Linked DNA regions of Anolis sagrei. The protein of the gene in region 2 purifies or fractionates together with the protein of the main gene of each other region. This does not show direct contact. Links are inferred from orthologs where the notes say so. Each region holds a gene or a part of one and is shown on either strand. Other genes may lie near its edges.

Region 1 (3,750 bases), on a different chromosome or scaffold from region 2:
AATAAGAATTTCAAGGGTGGGGGGCTGAAGCCTCTCAAGCCCCCCCCCCCCCGCTACATGCCTGGTTGGTGGGGTTCAGAATGCTCTGTGATTGTAGGTGAACTATAAATCCCAGCAACTACAACTCCCAAATGTCAAAATTCTATTTTCCCCAAACTCCACCAGTGTTCACATTTGGACATATTGAGTATTCATGTAGAGTTTGGTCCAGATCCATCATTGTTTGAGTCCACAGTGATCTCTAGATGTAGGTGAACTACAACTCCAAAACCAAAGGACACTGCCCACCAAACCCTTCCAGTATTTTCTGTTGTTCGTGGGAGTTCTGTCTGCCAAGTTTGGTTCAATTCCATCGTTGGTCGCAGGCCCGTAGCCAGGATTTTGATTCGGGGGATGCTGAGTTTGATTCAAAAAGGGGGGGGGGGGCTGAGGATCTATCCTACCAAACCTTTTGTATCATTATCCCAATACCCCCATGCATATGGGATATATTGAGCATGGTGATCAGATCATGATATGAATAAACGTAACAGTTTAAATAATGTACCAGTAAGAATAAGAATTTCGAGGGTGGGGGGCTGAAGCCTCTCAAGCCCCCCCCCCCCCGCTACATGCCTGGTTGGTGGGGTTCAGAATGCTCTTTGATTGTAGGTGAACTATAAATCCCAGCAACTACAACTCCCAAATGACAAAATCAATTTTTTGAGTGATGGTAACTTCTTGGGTCAGTAGGTGTCTTGTGTCCAAATTTGGTGTCAATTCATCCAGTGGTTTTTGAGTTCTGTTAATCCCACAAACGAACATTACATTTTTATTTATATAGATTATATTTTTATATATTGTATTATAAGACACTGCAATGCCTGAAAATTGGAGCAGAATTCTAATGCTTAGTAGGTACAACACCTCCCCCCCCCCCCCCCCATAGAAAGACAAGGCTCCTACAGCTAAGTAGAGGGAACTCTCAAGGGGGGCGGGGCTTGGCAAGGCTCCTCCCCCTCGGAACGTAGAAGAAGCCCTGCGCCCTGTGATTGGTCCTCCCGGATTGGGAAAGCCCCGCCTTCCAGGCTCCTGTGGCTGGTCTGCGGGAAGGCACAGCAGTTTTCCAATTTCCATCTGCCTGAGCTTCTTCTCGGATTGAGCAGCGCTTGGATCCAAAGCCAGAGGGAGAGAAGCTGATGCCAGGGCGCTGAGACTGACCAGGATCCCTTCCTTCCCTGGACTCCTTTGGTGCTGCTCCGAGGACAGATGGAGCTGGGCGCCCCACTGGGGCTCTTCGTCCTGCTGTTGCTTCTTGCAGAGCCTTGGAGGGTCCATTCAGGTAAGGCAGGCACGAGCTGTCTGCTGTTATTGTCTTGTGAGGGGAGGCATCTATAAACACCCTAAAGGCAGCAGATCCCGTCTGAACTGGGATGCTAAGCAGGGTCGGCCTTGGATAGCACTTGGATGGGAGACCGCCAAGCCATACCAAAGATTCCAAGTGTCAATGATAACACTATGAAGTATGATTACCTTAAAGGCAGCAGATCCCCTTTGAGCTGGGATGCTAAGCAGGGCCGGCCTTGGATAGCACTTGGATGGGAGACTGCCAAGCTATACCGAAGATTCCAAGTGTCAATGATAACATTATGTAATATGATTGCCCTAAACACAGCAGATCCCCTCTGAGCTGGGATGCTAAGCAGGGTCGGCCCTGGATAGTACTTGGATGGGAGACCGCCAAGCTATACCGAAGATTCCAAGTGTCAGTGATAACACTATGTAATATGATTACCTTAAAGGAAGCAGATCCCCTCTGAGGTGGGATGCTAAGCAGGGTCTACCCTGGATAGCACTTGGATGGGAGACCGCCAAGCCATACCGAAGATGCCAAGTATAAACAATAGCACTATCTAATATGATGTTTGTTCTTGGGTTGTCGAGGCCATTTCCTGACTGGTTTTATCATAAAGGCATGGGAAAAGTTGATTAAACTGCCTAAACTTAATCCCGCAGCACAGGTTGCTCTCGCTTTTCAATGAATATCTCACAAGAAACTCAACCAATTTGACATATTTATTTACTATATTTGTATACCGCCCTTCTCAGCCTTCAGGTAACTCAGGGTGGCTTACAATGGCAATGATTCGATGCCCAAAAACATAATAAAACATTTAAAAACATTAACACATAATATAAAACCATAACAAGAATACTAAAAGCATACATCATTTGTGTCTCCTAATAAAAACATTGACATAGTTTGTAGCAGCCACAAAAAAACAAAGTTTTGGGAGTAGGACAACTCCTTTAAAAGTAAGTAAGCTGGAACGTGTCCAGAGGAGGGTGATTAAAATGATCAAGGGTCTGGAGAACAAGCCCTATGAGGAGCGGCTTAAAGACCTGGGCATGTTTAGCCTGAAGAAGAGAAGGTTTAGAGGAGACATGATGAGGACATGTATAAATATGTGAGAGGAAGTCATAGGAAGGAGGGAGCAAGCTTGTTTTCTGCTGCCTTGGAGACTAGGACGTAATTGAACAATGGCTTCAAACTACAAGAAAGGAGATTCCATCTGAACATTAGGAAGAACTTCCTGACTGTGAGAGCTGTTCAGCAGTGGAACTCTCTGCCGCGGAGTGTGGTGGAGGCTCCTTCTTTGAGTGTCTCTTGGTTTTTTTCACTCAGGGGATCCAGGGATTGGGTGGGAAGGGATCTTCCCTAGCCCTCCACAATCTATGGAGAAGGGACAAGAGAGCAATTTTTCCCTGGCAAGGAGTTTGGAGGGTTGGGAAAACCATAGGTTGTGTGCCATGCTTTGTCCTGCATAGCCCTTAGCCCAAGGCACATGAGTAGCATAGGCAGAAAAATCTCACTGTCAACATGAGTTCTTAGAGAGACCCACTAAGAAAGACCCAGAGGTTGTGAGGCCATAGGACCTCACAACCTCTGGGGGGATGCCTGCCATAGATGCAGGCAAAATGTCAGGAGAGAATGCTTCTGGAACATGGCTATACAGCTCGGAAAACTCACAACAACCCAGTCATAGGAGTGCTCTACTCCCGATGGGCAGTGTCAGTTCTCTAGCCATGGGTAAAGAGAGAGTGAAAAAAAGGAGTTTGATGTGCGTAGTGATTTGGGAAAAGTCTCCTTCTCCAAGCGATGTTGGTGCTGCTGAAAGTGACAAACTTCCTGCTGGATTTTCTCAAGGGTGGGATTCAGGGAAAGGAGGGAGATGACTCACCTCTATATCAGGGGAAACAATGTGGCCAAGGTTTAGATTACACTATATAACATGATTTTTGCTCCTGGGTTATAAATGTCATTTCCTAATGCAATCTGTTGTAGAAACTTGGAAAAAGTTAATTAAACTGCCAAAACTTTGTTTCTGTGGGTCATCCTGTGGCACATTTTGTCATAGTTTTTTTTAATAGTATTATACTACTACTACTACTACTACTACTACTACTAATAATAATAATATTATGATATAATTATATATTTATATTACATGTAATATTTCTAATAATATTACAATATAATGGTATACCACAATATAGTAATATTTAATACTGATATTGTACTATGCTAATAATATAATATATTGTATGTATATATATCTTGTAAGCCGCTCTGAGTCCTGCTCTGAGAAGGGCGGCATATAAATGTCGTAAATCAATCAATCAATTAATATAGTTTTTCAATGAATATCTCATAGAATCTCAACCAATTCAACACAGAGTTCTTCCAGACAGGCCCCATATCGCAGGATC
Region 2 (3,750 bases):
TCCATGGCAGGCATCTTCAGAAGTTGTGAGGTATGTTGGAAACAAGGCAAGTGAGGTTTATATATCTGTGGAATGTCCAAAGTAGGAGAAAGAACTCTTGTCTGTTGAGGCAAGTGTGAATGTTGCAATTGATTAGCACTGAAAAGCCTTGCAGCATCAAGGCTTGGCTGCTTCCTGCCTGGGGGAATCCTTTGTTGGGAGGTGATTAGCTGGCCCTGATTGTTTCTTGTCTGGAATCCCTCCGTTTTTGAGTGTCGTTCTTTCTTTATTGTCCTGATTTTAGAGTTTTTTTTCTAATATTGTTAGCCAGATTTTGTTCATTTTCCTGGTTTCCTCCTTTCTGTCATAATTGGCAGCTCATAATGCCAGAGACTGACAGCATGACAAGTATCTTGTAAACTCAAGCTCTTTTGTTTAGGCATATAGAAAGTTAAAGAAAAGGACATGTCTATCTTTCTTAGATACTACACATAGATCCAAAGAAGAATGAATGAATGAATGAATGAATGAATGACAGAATGGGGAAAAGAGTCCTCCTCCTTTAAAAAAAAACTACTCATCTGTCCAGTTTTAAAGGAGACACCTTGTGGAATTGCCAGAGGTTTCTCTTGTGAGAATCAGCTGTGGTGTTGCTCAGGGGACACTTGAATGTTTTGATGTTTTACCATCCTTGTGGGAGGCTTCTCCCATGTCCCCGCATGGGGAGCTGGAGCTGACAGAGGGAGCTCATCCACACTCTTCCTGGATTAGAACCTCCAACCAGTCAGTCTTCAGTCCTGCTGGCACAAGGTTTAACCCTTGTGCGACCTAGGGCTCCTGTGAGACTAGGTGCAACTCTGGGTACTTTGTGTATGAGTCTTTATGGACCACATCACACTAGAGAATGAATCCACTTTAAATCTGGTTTTTGCCTCCTGTAGAATTCTGGGGTTTGTAGTTTAGTGAAGCTGTTAAAGGCTCCTCCTTAAACTACAAACCCCAGAATTCCGTGGGAGGCAGCAACCGGATTGAAAGTGGATTCATTCTCTAATGTGATAAAGTAGTATCTGTCCTGTTTCTGAGTGAGTAGTCTGAAGCCTGCTTTTTGGTCGACTTCTTAACCTACCTGGGAAGGAGGAAAGGATGAACTCCCTCTATTAGCTCCAGCTCCCCCTGCGGGGACATGAGAGAAGCCTCCCACAAGGATGGCAAAACATCAAGCATCCAGGTATCCCCTGGGCAACGTCCTTGCAGACGGCCAATTCTCTCACACCAGAAGCGACTTGTAGTTTCTCAAGTCGCTCCTGACAGGACACACACACACAAAAAGAAAAGTTGCACCTAATCTGGGATGTTGTGATGTGCCTCCTTGCAGACTTGAACCTTTAGGCCGCCCTGAGTCCCCCACGGGGGATAAGGGCGGGTACAAATGCAGGAAATTAATAATAATAATAATAATAATCTCACGGGAGCCCTAGGTCGCGCAGTGGGTTAAACCCTTGTGCCAGCAGGACTGAAGACTGACAGGTCGGAGGTTCGAATCTGGCGAGAGCGTGGATGAGCTCCCTCTGTCAGCTCCAGCTTTCCATGCGGGGACATGAGAGAAGCTTCCCACAAGGATGGTAACATATCAAAACATCCGGGCGTCCCCTGGGCAAGGTCCTTGCAGACGGCCAATTCTTTCACGCCAGAAGCGACTTGCAGTTTCTCAAGTCGCTCCTGACACAACAAAAAAAGAAGAGGAAAGGGCCCTTTTCCTGGCAGTTACCTGGATACACCCTGGAAAGCATGCAAAGTGGCCACTTACCGCTCTTCAAAGCCCTGCCAAGGGTGGCCGTGAGGGCGACATAGTTCAGGAAGAGCCCCCAATCCATCTTCCTTTCTTGGTCCTCGAGGATTGTAGGAAGAGAACAGAGTATCCCTGTTTCCGCACGCAATCTTAAATCCTCCAGGAAAGGGAGTTTCAAAAAACACAAGCAATATGCATCAAGCTGTTTCAGGAGCAATAGCAGCAAGCAGAGTCCCGTTGGTAGCAAAGGACGTGTGGATATACTAGATCTCCTCAAGTCTCCCGCATCCTGTCATTCAGCTCCAGTTTCCTCTGCCTTTTCCCACACTTGTTCCTCTTCCAGGCGTCACTGCCTTTGCCATTTCCAAGCTGGCTTGGAAAGGGGTGGGAAAGAAAAGCTCGCAAGGAAGTCACAACAGAAGGGAGGAAGGAGGAGAAGGAGGAAAACAAAACCCTTCACAGCTTTGCCTCGAAGAGAAACGTCTCCAGGAGGAGGAAGGTCTCACCGGGGAGAGACGACTGCCTGTCTGTGGAGAGGAAGAAGGAGAAGAAGGAGAAGCAATGCCAATGAGAAGAAGGACTTCTTGCCCAACTTCATGCTCTCTTCGCCTCTCGATCAGCTGGCATTTGGAGGCAAGAGGAGCACCAAGAGATGCCTTCTTGGAGAGATGGTCTGAGAAGGAGGAGGAGGAAGAAGAAGATGTTGATGGAGAGGGCGGTGCTTTGCCTTCTTCTCCTCCACACAGAGTCCAATGTGGATTTTGGGCACACTTCTGCAAGGGAAGGGAAGGAAGAGCGGCCACCCAATGTCCTTCTTGTCGGCTCTGTAATCCAAGAGGAAGCGGAGCAAGAAGTATCTCTCTGTCTCTGTCTCTGCCCAGCGTCCGGGCGGCTCTTCCTTCTCTTGCAGGCTGAGGAAGAGAAGCGCAACTCGGTGCCAATAATAAGAGAGGAGCCGCCGCCTCCGGAGCCGCCAGTCCCCGCCTTCTCCCACCCGAAAAAGGAAGAAGGATCAACAAACAACCAGAACGAGCCCACCAATCCACCAATTCGTGGAGGAGGGAGTCGGAGAAGGGGTGGAGTGGCTCATGGGGAAGGAGGGACGGGAAGAAGAGGAGGAACAGGAGCAGCAGCAGAAGGGGCACGCCGAGGGGAGACGCTTCCTGGCGGAGAGTGCCCCAGTCTCGGCAAGGCAGGTGAAGCAGAGCCGGGGAAGGGGGCAAGGAGGGCGCGGCAGCAGCAGCAGCAGCACAGGCGCACAGCCTCGCAGGAGGAGACCTCCCCCAAAGGGTCATCTAGTCCAGTGGGTCTCGACCTTCCTCATGCACTTCCTCATGTTGTGGTGACCCCCCAAACATCACATTATTTTCCTTGCGACTTCATAACTGTCATTTTGCTACTGTTAGGAATCGTCATGGAAATATCCGATGTGCAGGATGTATTTTCATTCACTGGACCAAAATACCCGATAGCCCAAATTTGAATACTTTTAGGGTTGGAGAGGGACTGATTTTGTCATTTGGGAATTGTAGTTCCCTTACAATCAAAGAGCATTCTGAACTCCACCAACAATGGAATTGAACTAAACTTGGCACAAGGGACTCCCATGACTGGGCACCACAATGGAAAGGAGATGTTGACAAGCTGGAATGTGCTCAGAGGAGGACGACTAAATTGATCAAGGGTCTGGAGAACAAGCCCTCTGAGGAGCGGCTTAAAGAGCTGGATATAGAATCATAGAGTTGGAAGAGACCTCATGGGCCATCCAGTCCAACCCCCTGCCAAGAAGGAGGAATATTGCATTCAAAGCACCCCTGACAGATGGCCATCCAGCATCACACCTAGCCCCAGCAGACAAAAGTCCTTTGTCTCACCCTGGTCATTCCACAGATATATAAACCCATTTTTCCTACTTCCAACAGACCTCACTACCTCTGAGGATGCTTGCCATAGATGCAGGCGAAACGTCAGGAGAAAAATTG
Region 3 (3,750 bases), on a different chromosome or scaffold from region 2:
GCTGGGGGAGGGGTTATCACCTAGTGAATCGGATTAATCAAAAGCACATTGGAACATTCAAGTCTTTAGGTCTTTATGGAAAATGGACAGGGTAGGTGCTAATCTAATCTCCCTGGGGAGAGAGTTCCAGAGCTGGGGGGGGGGGGGAACGGGGGACCACCGAGAAAGCCCTCTCTCTCGTCTCCACCAACCATGCTTGAGATGGAGGTGGGAGCGAGAGAAGGTCCTCCTCAACAGATCTTAGAGCTCATGTCGGTTCATATGGGAAAATCAATAGGTACTGCTTCTGCAGGAAGGTAATGACACTCCATGCAGTCATGTTGGCCACATGACCTTGGAGGTGTCTATGGACAATGCCAGCTCTTCAGCTTAGAAATAATGAGCACCACCCCCAGAGTTGGACACAACTAGACTTAATGTCATGGGAAACCTTTACCTTTACAGTAAAAATGTATTGAATTAATACATAAACTATCCAGTTCGAAGAAGATAATCTGGATTATATGGCAGTGTAGATGGGACCACAGTGGGGATGAAAGGTCTGACATATAGTGTTCTCTCACTTATCACAGGTGTTACGTTCCAGGACCACCCGCAAAAAGTGAAAACCTGCGAAGTAGGGAGGCTATATATGTATATTCAGTTCCAAAGGTGAGGTAGAAGTGAGGAGAGATTTAAAGGCACCATACACATTTATTTATTTTTTTGCTTTGAAGTTTCTCTTGATTGGCTGCCTCTCTCAAGATGGGGAGGGTGAACCCCCCTTCCACACTCCATCGTTGCCAATAAGCGGGATTAAAATGCTGCACTGGTCAATGACAACCATTTGTCAACTGGGAGGCAACAACCCGCGAAACAGCGAGTCCATGCAAACCGTAGCGAGAGAACATTGTATCCCCTTTTTCCCAGCACTGCTTTTTCCCCAGCACTGGTTTATTTTATTGTGATGTTATTTTGTTGTTTATATTTTATGTTGCTGTAATGTATCGCTGGGCTTGGCCTCATGTAACTTGCTCCGAGTTCCCTTTGGGGAGATAGTGGCGGAATATAAATAAAGTTTATTATTATTATTTGCAACACAACAAGATGAGTGCACAGCAGATACTCTGCTGGCTGTTGTATTGGATCACATGTCCGACACTTCCCAAGTGTCTAGGACTGTGTGATGTATCGGCGAATAATGTGTGCAGATCCCAGTAAGGTGGCCTTTTGCAGCTGGCAGATGGTAATTTTGTCAGCGCCGATTGTGTTTAAGTATAGGCCAAGGTCTTTAGGCACTGCACCCAGTGTGCGGCCACGCTGCTTTTTCCCCAGCACTGGTTTGTTTATTTTATTGTGATGTTGTTTTGTTGTTTATATTTTATGTTGCTGTAATGTATTGCTGGGCTTAGCCTCATGTAAACCACTCTGAGTCCCTTTTGGGGAGATGGTGGCGGAGTATAAATAATAATAATAATAATAATAATAATAATAATTTGAAACACAACAAGATGAGTCCACAGCAAACACTCTGCTGCCTGTTGAAATGGATCATACTTCGGACCCTTCCCAAGTGTCTAGGACTGTGTGATGTATCGGTGAATAGTGCCAGTAAGGTGGCCTTCTGCAGCTGGCAGATGGTAATTTTGTCAGCGCCGATTGTGTTTAAGTGCAGGCCAAGGTCTTTAGGCACTGCACCCAGTGGGCCGATCATCACTAGGACCACCTTTATTATTATTATTTTACTATTATTATTTTGCAGGTGGCGAGGGCAAGAGAGGCAGGCCTGGGCTCACCTGCTCTTGTGGCTCCTCCTCCTCCTTTAACCAAGAGCTTTGCAGCCTGGAACAAAACCGGCTCTCCTAAATGCCAACTTCCAATTCTTTTTACCTGCAAGCCTCACAGTCTGCTTCAACACTTGGCATGGGTTTTGCAGTCCATGTGGGAGGCAACAAAATCCAGATTGGAGGCAGAGGAGTGTACAAAAGGAGCCAGGAACAAAAGGTGACACCTTCCCTGCCTTTCTACCTGTAAATCCAGCAGTCTCCTATGTTACATCACAAGCCAATCCATGAGAACGATGGATTGATTGCATGGCCAGTGGGAATCAATGGGGGAAGGCTTGTGGATATCAAACCTTGTGGGTAGGGAGAGTAAGAGAGGCAAGCATCGGCTCACCTGCTGTTGGGGCTGCCGCTCTTCCTCGTCCTCGTCCTCCTCTTCTTCCTCGGGTGTCCATGGCTCTTGTGGTTGCTGCTGCTTCTTCCTTTGCCTCCTCGCTTTCCCAATGGCGAGGGGGGACGAGGAGGAGCGCGATGGCGCCGCCGGCTCCCGTTCCCACTCCTTTCCCAAGACACATTCCGTCGTTTGCAGCCAGAGCAGCTCCTCCGTGGAGCCCATCGCGGGGGAAGAACACGAGAAGAGCCCGGATCGCGCCTGCTGCTACTGCTGCTGCTGCTGCCCCGCGCGCAGGGCGTCCAAGCCCACGCGCGAGGAAGCTCCGTGGCGGCGCCGCTGCGGTTCCTGCCGCCTCTGCTGCTGTCTTTGCCTTCTCCTTCTTGGCAGGGCGTGCCTGGCTGGGGAGCCGTCACGGGATCCAGTGGGAGGCGGAGGGCCGAAAGGCGACCCCGGGAAAAAAGGGAAGGAAGCGCGCGCGGAGGCGGAGTGGGAGTGAAAAGGGGGAGCGCGCAAGGGAGAAAGGAGGAAGCGGCGTGCCTCTCCGCCTTTTGTTCCCCAGCCCTCCCAGCCGCCTCTCTTTATACAGCGTCTCCCTTCCTCCCCCTCGTGTCTCTCCTTCGTGGAAAGCGCCCACCTCTGGAGGAGTGGCTGGGCCAAAGGGGCGGCAAGCATGGGCAACTTGCCTTCCAACTTGGACGCCTTGAGTGCACGCCTGACAGCCCTTCGAAGTGCCAAGCCTCCATGCTACAGGCATCGTGGGAGTTGTAGTTTGCTGAAGCACCAGCATGCTTTGGCAGAGAAGGCTGGAAACATTCAAGAACTGCAACTCTCAGGAATCATAGAGTTGGAAGAGACCTCATGGGCCATCCAGTCCAACCCCCTGTCAAGAAGCAGGAAAATTGCATTCAATGCACACCCGACAAATGGCCATCCAGCCTCTGTTTAAAAGCTTCCAAAGAAGGAGCCTCCACCACACTCCGGGGCAGAGAGTTCCACTGCTGAACAGCTCTCAGTCAGGAAGTTCTTCCTTATGTTCAGATGGAATTTCCTTTCTTGAAGTTTGAAGCCATCGTTCCAAGTCCTGGTCTCCAGGGTAGCAGGAAACAAGCTTGTTTCCCTCTTCCCTATGACTTCCACTCACACATTTATACATAGCTATCATGTCTCCTTTCAGCCTTCTCTTCTTCAGGCTAAACATGCCCAGGTCTTTAAGCTATTCCTCATAAGGCTTGTTCTCCAGATCCTTGATCATTTTGCCTTCCTCTGGACACATTCCAGCTTGTCAATATCTCTCTTCAATTGTTACATAGTATTCCTGAGCCATGAAAGTTTTGGACAATGGAAATCTCCATAACCTTTTTGGAAATAGCCTGGGAATTCTCCGGCTACTTCATCACACTAGACACTCGCTGGAACACTTCAGCAAGCAAGAAGTGGCAGGTTAAAACCCAGAACCTCAATCAGTGGCTGATACCAAATGAGAGACTCCCTCCTGGGCACACAGAAAAGTGGGCGACTTGGAAGGCACTGTGCTCTGGCACAATGAGGTGCAGAGCCAACCTTAAGAAATGGGGGTACAAAGTGGAATCCACG

What was found. The genes of interacting proteins can lie anywhere in the genome.
Region 1: the proteins of NRP1 (region 2) and KDR purify together in Homo sapiens (affinity purification with western blotting; 7 studies listed by BioGRID and IntAct, with this or other methods). This does not show direct contact. The link is inferred for Anolis sagrei from reciprocal best matches to the Homo sapiens genes NRP1 and KDR.
Region 3: the proteins of NRP1 (region 2) and FAM241A purify together in Homo sapiens (affinity purification with mass spectrometry; 3 studies listed by BioGRID and IntAct, with this or other methods). This does not show direct contact. The link is inferred for Anolis sagrei from reciprocal best matches to the Homo sapiens genes NRP1 and FAM241A.

Annotation. Positions count from the first base shown.
Region 1 is NC_090025.1:73,774,445-73,778,194, forward strand, and holds the start of KDR (vascular endothelial growth factor receptor 2), read left to right. Parts: upstream 1-1,088; 5' UTR 1,089-1,248; coding exon 1,249-1,321; intron 1,322-3,750. UniProt on the Homo sapiens protein: Tyrosine-protein kinase that acts as a cell-surface receptor for VEGFA, VEGFC and VEGFD. Plays an essential role in the regulation of angiogenesis, vascular development, vascular permeability, and embryonic hematopoiesis.
Region 2 is NC_090026.1:112,929,386-112,933,135, forward strand, and holds the start of NRP1 (neuropilin-1), read right to left. Parts: upstream 2,823-3,750; 5' UTR 1,854-2,822; coding exon 1,787-1,853; intron 1-1,786. UniProt on the Homo sapiens protein: Cell-surface receptor involved in the development of the cardiovascular system, in angiogenesis, in the formation of certain neuronal circuits and in organogenesis outside the nervous system. Mediates the chemorepulsant activity of semaphorins.
Region 3 is NC_090025.1:32,299,368-32,303,117, reverse strand, and holds the start of FAM241A (uncharacterized protein FAM241A), read right to left. Parts: upstream 2,777-3,750; 5' UTR 2,380-2,776; coding exon 2,158-2,379; intron 1-2,157.